Drosophila melanogaster: one gene and its partner. The protein of the gene in region 2 interacts with the protein of the main gene of each other region in a pairwise test. Each region holds a gene or a part of one and is shown on either strand. Other genes may lie near its edges. The genes, in order: CG5866 and CG43367.

What was found.
Region 1: the proteins of CG43367 (region 2) and CG5866 interact in a two-hybrid assay, tested with the Drosophila melanogaster proteins (one large-scale study listed by BioGRID).

Annotation. Positions count from the first base shown.
Region 1 is NT_033777.3:17,414,108-17,417,298, reverse strand, and holds CG5866 (uncharacterized protein), read right to left. Parts: upstream 1,561-3,191; 5' UTR 1,554-1,560; coding exon 944-1,553; intron 887-943; coding exon 825-886; 3' UTR 794-824; downstream 1-793. Other genes in the region: CG42822 (uncharacterized protein), read right to left, coding at 2,900-2,910, 2,973-3,125.
Region 2 is NT_037436.4:4,192,362-4,197,273, reverse strand, and holds the start of CG43367 (uncharacterized protein), read right to left. Parts: upstream 3,282-4,912; 5' UTR 2,990-3,281; coding exon 2,939-2,989; intron 2,717-2,938; coding exon 2,360-2,716; intron 2,297-2,359; coding exon 2,110-2,296; intron 1,976-2,109; coding exon 1,887-1,975; exon of another isoform or gene 1,769-1,886; coding exon of another isoform or gene 1,685-1,768; coding exon 1,559-1,684; intron 1,434-1,558; coding exon 1,284-1,433; intron 1,228-1,283; coding exon 967-1,227; intron 913-966; coding exon 590-912; intron 527-589; coding exon 319-526; intron 262-318; coding exon 1-261.

The DNA of each region.
Region 1 (3,191 bases), on a different chromosome or scaffold from region 2:
AACTCATCTCATCTTGATTATGCAAGCCAAATACTGGTTTTCCCCTTATTAATTAAAAATAAATTTATTGTAATATAATGTAATTATTTAAAGTAGACTAACCAAATTTTTAAAATGTATTATTATATTTGAAGTCCATTACTTGATAAATTCGAATATTTAATGTACCACAAAACAATACTAGATTAGTTTAAAACAGCAAATTTTCAATCATTTTGTAGTATATATTTTGTTGATCGTGCCAACATTTCCGTCCGTCCGTCCATTATGTATGCAGAATAGGATCTATATCTGAAGCCAGACTTCAACGACTGATGGGTATCTAATAGTCGAGAAAATCGACTAAGGCGTTTATTCTTAAATGGCAACGAGTAATGGGTATCTAATAGTCGAGAAAATCTACTAAGGCATTTAATATTGATTGTTTTGTAATGCATTTTAATTTGTTATCTATTTAATAAGTTACAGTTGTTTCGATTGGCATAAAATGGCCCTGATATTAATATGAGGAGGACCTGAGGGGAGGCTAGCCTTTTTTGTTTTATATATATGGTAAATGATACCATATCTTTAAATACCTTCTATCTTTAAAGATTTAAAAGATCTAGGCTTCCGAATATAGGTTTATGCATAAGATTATCATACATAGGACAACCAGATTTATGTAAATAGTACACACAACACCGACAACAACAAAATTATTTCATTTGACAATATTATATTTCAGAAAAAGAAAACAATACAACTTAGGATATTATATTAGATATTTATATCTATATTTATATAAATATTTATATTTATATTTAGTTATCTTGAGCTTAGAATTAGTGGGCCCTGTAAGCGCTGGGCAGACGATGGCATTCGTGATGACCGATGTGTCTCAAAACTGCAATTAAACAATAATATCATTTGTGAAAATGTTTTAGATATGTTTATAACCAACCTGGCTTAAGTTCATTGCGACGCAGGCAGTTCAAAACGGCCAGTGCGCAGGAGTTCTCCACCCTGTAGCAGAGATGACCATCGGTGGCATAAGCTGGACTATGAACCCTGGGGCAATGGATGGTGGCGTGGCAGTTGCGATGATGATGAACACCATGAGTTCCGTGATATGGTGCCTCCAGATGGTTGTGGTGGATTGGATGCTGATGGTGGGATCCATGAACTTCTTGAAATGGTGCCTCGAGTTGTTGGTTAGGATGTGAACCATGATAGTGGTGCTGAGGGGATCCGTGGATAGGATCATGCGATTCAGACAACTGATGATGATGGTGGGGCTCAGATAGGTGATGGTGCCCTTCTAGGTGATAATGGGGTCCGTGCTCGTGAGGATGCGATTGAAATTGATACAGATGTACTCGTTGATGTTGATGTTCTTTTCCTGCAGACAATGACTCGTTAGGAACGATTTGATGCACTGAAGCATCTTCGACAGGCAGATATCCTTTCTGGGGAACCTTCGCTTCTAAGATAATAATATCCGATCTGCGCAGAAAGGATCCTTGGGCAAGGACCATCCAAGCACTCAGCAAGAAAACGAAACGCAGAGCCATATTTTCTTCAACTGATGCTGATTCACAGGAACCTTTTCGGTTTTATACCCAGAGCACAATAGAAACCGAGTCCAATAATTTAAACTTAATAAGAAACCCATTTTAATTAGAAATTAATTAAAAGATAAGCACCGCAATAGCATCACTAGTGGGCAGCTAATTAAATAATATAAATACTCTCAAGCAGGGCATAAATCACAACCTTGTGGTATATGCAGGCTAGGAACGTTCAACTCGGGAGTTTCTTTACCTAGAGCTCTGAATTCTAAACCCTCAGGTCAACCCGAGTTGACTGAACCCATTCGCATGCTTACATCTTTACAAATGGTCTTAAATATAATGGTCTTTTAATATTTTTATTTTGATTTTGCCCTATAATTCTCAACTGATTCTAGTAAAGACTGTGTGACTGGACGTGTAGTTTAGAGTCACGGAATATTAAAAGTAAACTATTTTACAATGTGTGTATTTAACAGGTGTGATTACTTGGAAACGACTAATGTTAGGTATACAAGTGTTTTAACTGTTATGTACCTAAAACTTATTTTAAAATGTGTGACCCAAAATATAAATAATCTCATAAACTGGAATTGTGACCATATTTCTTCAGCTTTTTATTCACGTTTCATATTAAAATAAAATGTTAAGTTCCTGTTAAGAAAGGGATCACTGAAGAAGATATATATCTATTTAGATTTATTTGTTTACAAAGTGCTACTAAATCTATCTCGCGGACTTCACAAATAATATGTAAGTAATTAAGCTACTGTATTATTCTGTTGTAATTATATTAGTTAATTGAAGTTAGGTAATTGTAACTCTAAAACCCCAAAGCAAACGTCACGTGGTCAACAGAAGTGGATAATTTTAGTGAATTATATTGGACATGCATGGAGTTACGCTTTTCTATCTTTAATTAGTTTAAATAATATTTAATATAATATAATAAGATACGAAATATGTGCTATTCCATTAATAGGATGAATAATATTTATACTGAGCCATATATTATATAAATGTACATTTTTATATAACACAAACAAAATGAAATTTATACGGATTACATATTTATAATATTATGTTAAAGCGAATTTTAAAAATTATTATTATTAAACAATAGTTTTTTACCATATCTTTTAAACTGGGTGTGACTAAAACACTTTTATATTATTCAGCGCACTCGCTTGATTTCTACGTGACTTGTTGGCTGTTTGTTACGCAAACACGACTTCGATATTTGGTTTCATGCTTGAGGCCCCAAAGAGCCCTAATAGATAAAAACAACTAATAGATTTAGGTGTAAAAGTTCATTTACTTTCGTTCACGCTTAAAACATTCTGCGTGGCTTACAAAAAAGCTGTAAAATTGAATAAAGGGAAATAAGTCAACTGTAATATCTAAACATGTAGTTTAACTCACTCTGGCCAGTACGACAGGTGTGAGCCCGTTTTTCACATTCGTTACCAAAGTTTAGGACTTCGCCCTTGTAGATTCCAGTTGTGGGCTGGTAGATGGCTGTACAAATGTCGGCGCATTGCTTCTGACACTCCCTCTTTGTCGTTATGGTCAAGGCTTTTATATAATCAACATAATATTCGTTTGATTAATTCTTATTAAGTTGTAATAAGAAACTGCTCA
Region 2 (4,912 bases):
AACGTTTCCGTTTGGCTGCACAAAGACCTCGAAACCACTGCCACTTGCTGTCTGTAGTGTAAGCAGCATTCGGCGACTGTTTGACTGCTCCTTCAGCTGATTGAATCGGACCAGAATGTGAAAGATGAAGCCATATGAACCGGAGATAGTCCAGTTTCGAATATCGGGTACAAGAATACCATCCGTCGGTTGCTCAATGGAAAAGAACTCGGCGCAGGAATTGCTGCCTCTAAGGCTCTGCAAAGCAATTACAACAAGAGTCTGCAAGAAATTTAACTATTAACAAGAATACGATATCACAAGGGGATAGAATTTCACCTGCTGAAGCTGCTTGAACTGCGGAAACTTCGTGCCCTGCCGCAACAGTGAAAATATGCACTTGAGCTCCGCGGGTACAATACTGAGCTTGCTTAATTCCTCTATCAACTTAATGAGATTCTGAACACAGTTCTCGGCCAGAGATTCCGCCGTCAGGAGGCAACCACATACTGCTTTGATAATATGACTGCCACATGCCACAGTTTTTCTGTTAAATATTCAAAAGGCTGATGTATCCGTTGATTATATCAATCGAAGCTAATTTTCTTACGTTCTGTAGTTGTCGGTGCAGCCCTTGAGCACAAGACTGGTCACATGCAATTGTTCGCGCTCTTGGAGCGTTGGCACCCAATTGAGCAATCGAAGCATAACTTCGGGTAGCAGCAAAAAGTGCTCACTTTCATCGTAGCCAAGCATGAAACAAGTGTCCAGGAGTTCGACTGTTGGACTGCCATATTCCTGCAGGCTGGTAAAGAGCCTCTCGATGCGCTCACCCTGTCGCAACTGGGACGCGGATTGAGGGGAATGGCGCGCTAAAATAGCCAAAGCTTCCATGGTGCTGCACAGGGAACTCGAGTGGGAAATATGCCAGGGCTATAAAGTATAACAATGATTAGTACTGAATTTGTAAGAGATAAGAAAACATACTTTTATAAGCTTTGGCAGATTGGTAAGCAGTTCCAATAGATTGGAATCGGAAACGGCTTCACTAACACCTGCATCGCCTGTGACAAAGAATTTAACAGCCGCTACGGTGGAGGAGAGTGCAGCCATGTCGATAGCCACATCCTGGTCAGCATCGCTGGTTATATCGAAATTGGCATCCCCGCTATCGAAGTGCTTTGTGGCCAGGAGCTCTTGGAGAGCATCACAATACAGTTGAACTAACGTAACTAGGTCTATTTGGCGCTGTGCAACGAAGATGTGATTAGTTTGCTGTGGAAACGAAATGGCTGGCTACTCACTTCTTCCGGACTAGATTTCTGCAGCACAATGACCATCAGCGCATAGCATTGCAGGGCTACGCGGCGCAGATTATTGGCACTCTCCCATTGTCGCAGGATACTCATGGTAATGGACACCGTGGCGGGGCAAATGGCCTTCATACCATTGCGCTGATCAGACCAAATTCACCATTATAAGGGTTCAACGCAGGACATGGGACAGACAAGCAATGGCATGCATGAGCAACGGTTAGGGGACAACAATGATCGGGACAACAGATGGTTCCACCACTCACCAAGTTATCACAGTCTAGCAGCCCATCACCCGAGCAGGGGGCAAGTGAAGAAGTGGTTAGAGCGTTAGTATTTCTATTTGTCAGGGTCGAGGTCGAGTTTAGAGACTTCTGCACTTTCAGCTGCAGCTGGAGGAGATCCAGCCACACAACGATACACGAAATGAAACGAAATAGGACAAGGAAACAAAATGATAGAGCTCTAACGTACATTAATAGCGAAAGCAGTGAGCAGAAAGGTAAGCTGTCAGGAAGTGAGGTTAATAATTAAACGGTTTTTAAGAGAGAAAGGACTACACAGGAAGGGACTGGAGACGCTTTCTGGCGCTACCTGTGAGCCGCAAATCACAGCGCCCAGGATGTTTAGCAGGCTTTCGCCAATTTCCGCATATCGGATGAGCTTCTCCTCCTGAAAGCAATCTGCAAGGCAAAGCGAAATGTTAGTGGGCCAAACTGTTATGGGGCAGTGATGGGTCACTTAAACTTAAACTGGGATCAGACTCATCAGTAGTTAGTTACACTCCATCACTGCCTCTTTATCCTTTTTATCTTACCATAAATAAAGGGGACAATTTCCACATGAACCGAGTGGGGTTTATATGAAAGACGACTGTAGTCAGCTGACTGGCCTCGCACGAAGCTGCGCCACGTCAGATATGGATCATACATGACTTCCAGGAATGCCGAGAAACTGCTAAACAGGTGGCTTATTGCGGGCACGCTCTGCGGCAGCTCCATTTGCTGGAATTCATTGATAAGTTAATTGTGGTAAAACCCAGCAATATGTATAAGATATTTGCATACTTGTTTGAACACCCTGGAGAGTATGGCGATCAAATTCGGCTTGTATTCATACTTGATGATGGACAGTATGTTATCAAAGTGCCGGCACACGATCACCAGACAATCCACGAGTATGGCTACTTCTTCAATGGCCTGCTCCTCCAGTTTCCCTTCCGTTTCGCAAACATCTCTGGCTACAATGATGAATTTACCGATGGCGGGCAGGAGTTCATCCGGGAGGCGGCCCAAGTGGGGACCACTATCCGGCTGAACCTCGTGCCACATCGGGCAATTTTCCGCCTGAAAGTCTAGCTGCAGTTGGCTCCTCCAAATGGCCACGAAGCGGGCCACAAATTGCCGGAAGTGGGTTTCATCATTCTTAAAACGAAAAGAGCGAGGGAGAGGGAAGGATTTAGTTTGAGCCTCTCCGGGATTATATAATCATTACACTGTTTACATTACTTGAAGTGCTGTTTGCCTTTCAGTGACTAATGCTATAAACATTTGCGGCCTCCCCCGCAATTGGAGCAGCACCCCCCGCCACTCCTCCACCCAAAATCCGACTTCTTATCACTCGATTTTCTCTAATTGGAACCTTACCTTTGTCGTGTACTGCACCCACAGATTGTATATATCCTTCTTATTGTCCATCGTCGCGTTTTTTCCAGCAATTTTCTCAACTGAACGGCATTTGTTAATTGCTAGCCGAGTTTTTCCCCAAGGCGAATTATTTGTTTACAAAAAAAAATGTTGCCGACGATGTAGGTTGTTTTGTCCACAGCCCAGGTTTTGCTCTATTTCGGCGTTGTTTTCCGAGCTCCTCCTTGGGAGCGAACGTCTATATAGTCAGAGTGATAGCCTCTACAGAGGTTGCAAGCCGTGATTCAGATTTCAGCACATTTACAAGAACTTTTTGGCCAAATTTTCACACAGCTAGAGGCACAGGTGAAAACGGCAACAGCTGATTGCTTCTTCTTCCTGTCATTCACCATTGTTTGGCAGTGTTGTAAAATGCGCGGGTAACCAAAAATGTTGGCGCCAAATTTTGATCTCAAATATCATTAATGAAATTGAAGATCTTTGTTATTTATTTTGTATAGCTGCAAAAATTCATCCATAACACCAAAATAAAACAGCATGACAACTTAGGCTGCTAAATGCGTATTTATTTCGAGATTTTCATGTATTTGGTTTCAATTCTAGTAGCATTTTGTTATTTGTTTGTCTGTTTTACATGATATTAGCTAATAGTTGCGCTTCTGTTGCCATTGCTTGACCCTCGTTAACTATTTCCAACTGTCGTTAAAAACAAACGATTTCTGTGTAGTTCATTGCCGCCTATCATTGATACAATATGCGCAAAAGTGCAGTTTATTGATGCGGATGCGGATGCTGATGCAGATGCGGATGCTTCTATACGCATTCTATACGCAATTTCGTTTAGAAGTGACTTGGTTTGGTTTTCGGTTTTGTTTGTAATATAAAAAGGAAACGTTAGTTTATATTTAATTTCAGACCTAAATTATTAAGATTTAATGCAATATTTTATTTGTAAGTTTTTAATTGAATAGCTTGAACCATTTGTAGGACCTATAAATATTCACTATCCGTTAATAATCTTAATAAAATAAATATGTAGAAGAAAAATCTTATGCCTCCGTTTCAGTTAGTTAAAGCTGTGAGTTTTTATCCGCATTAATTTGAAGGATAACAATGTTAGTTAATTTACGTTAATTTAAGTTAATGTTAATTTAATTTAATTTAATTTACTTCAAATATAGGCATTCGACTTGCTTTCGTTTATCATTACGTTTAAATGAAATACACGATGCTTTCGTTTGTTGTTAAATTTAATTTCTGTTTTTCGGTTTTTACGCATTACGGTTTGCAGCACTTGAATGGGCATTACAATATTTAAAAAACCTCAGCGCCTCGATTTATCGATTTGTAAATAAGTTGCGCGCCTTGTTTTTCTTTTGCTTTTATTTGCTCTATTTGGAATTTGGGTTTTGGATTGTGGATGTTGGGCAATGGGTAGTGGGGTAGTGGAGTTGGTGGAGTTTATCTGTGTTTCTGCCTCGAGACGACGACGATTGTTGCGAATAGAAAAATAATTCAAGTAAATATTTGTATATGCGTGTATAAGTATTATAGTTTTTCCTCTAGGTATATGAATAGCACTCCATGCTCGAGTCCATGCGGCCTATGTTTTTATTGTATTTGTACCAATCGCCTAAGATCCTCCAGATATCAGATACTGTGCACATACTATAATGCCCGTGCATTGCAATTTTGAGTGGGTGTGGCAGTCCGGAGTTACTCCGGCTATCTAGCGTGCTTAATGTGGGTGAGTGTTTGTGTGAGTGTAGGTGTGAATCCGAGTAGCTAGTTCATAAGGTAAATATAATCTATCATAGTTCATTAGGTGCCGCTAACAGCTCTGAAGGTATTCAGGTTCGGTCGCATTCGCTGCGTTGTTGTCGATTGTTTCGGGTAGAAATACTTGGGGTGTATCGCGCTTTACGGTTGCCTCATGAGTTCTTTTTCGGGTTGGGTCTCCGCTCCGGTGATCTC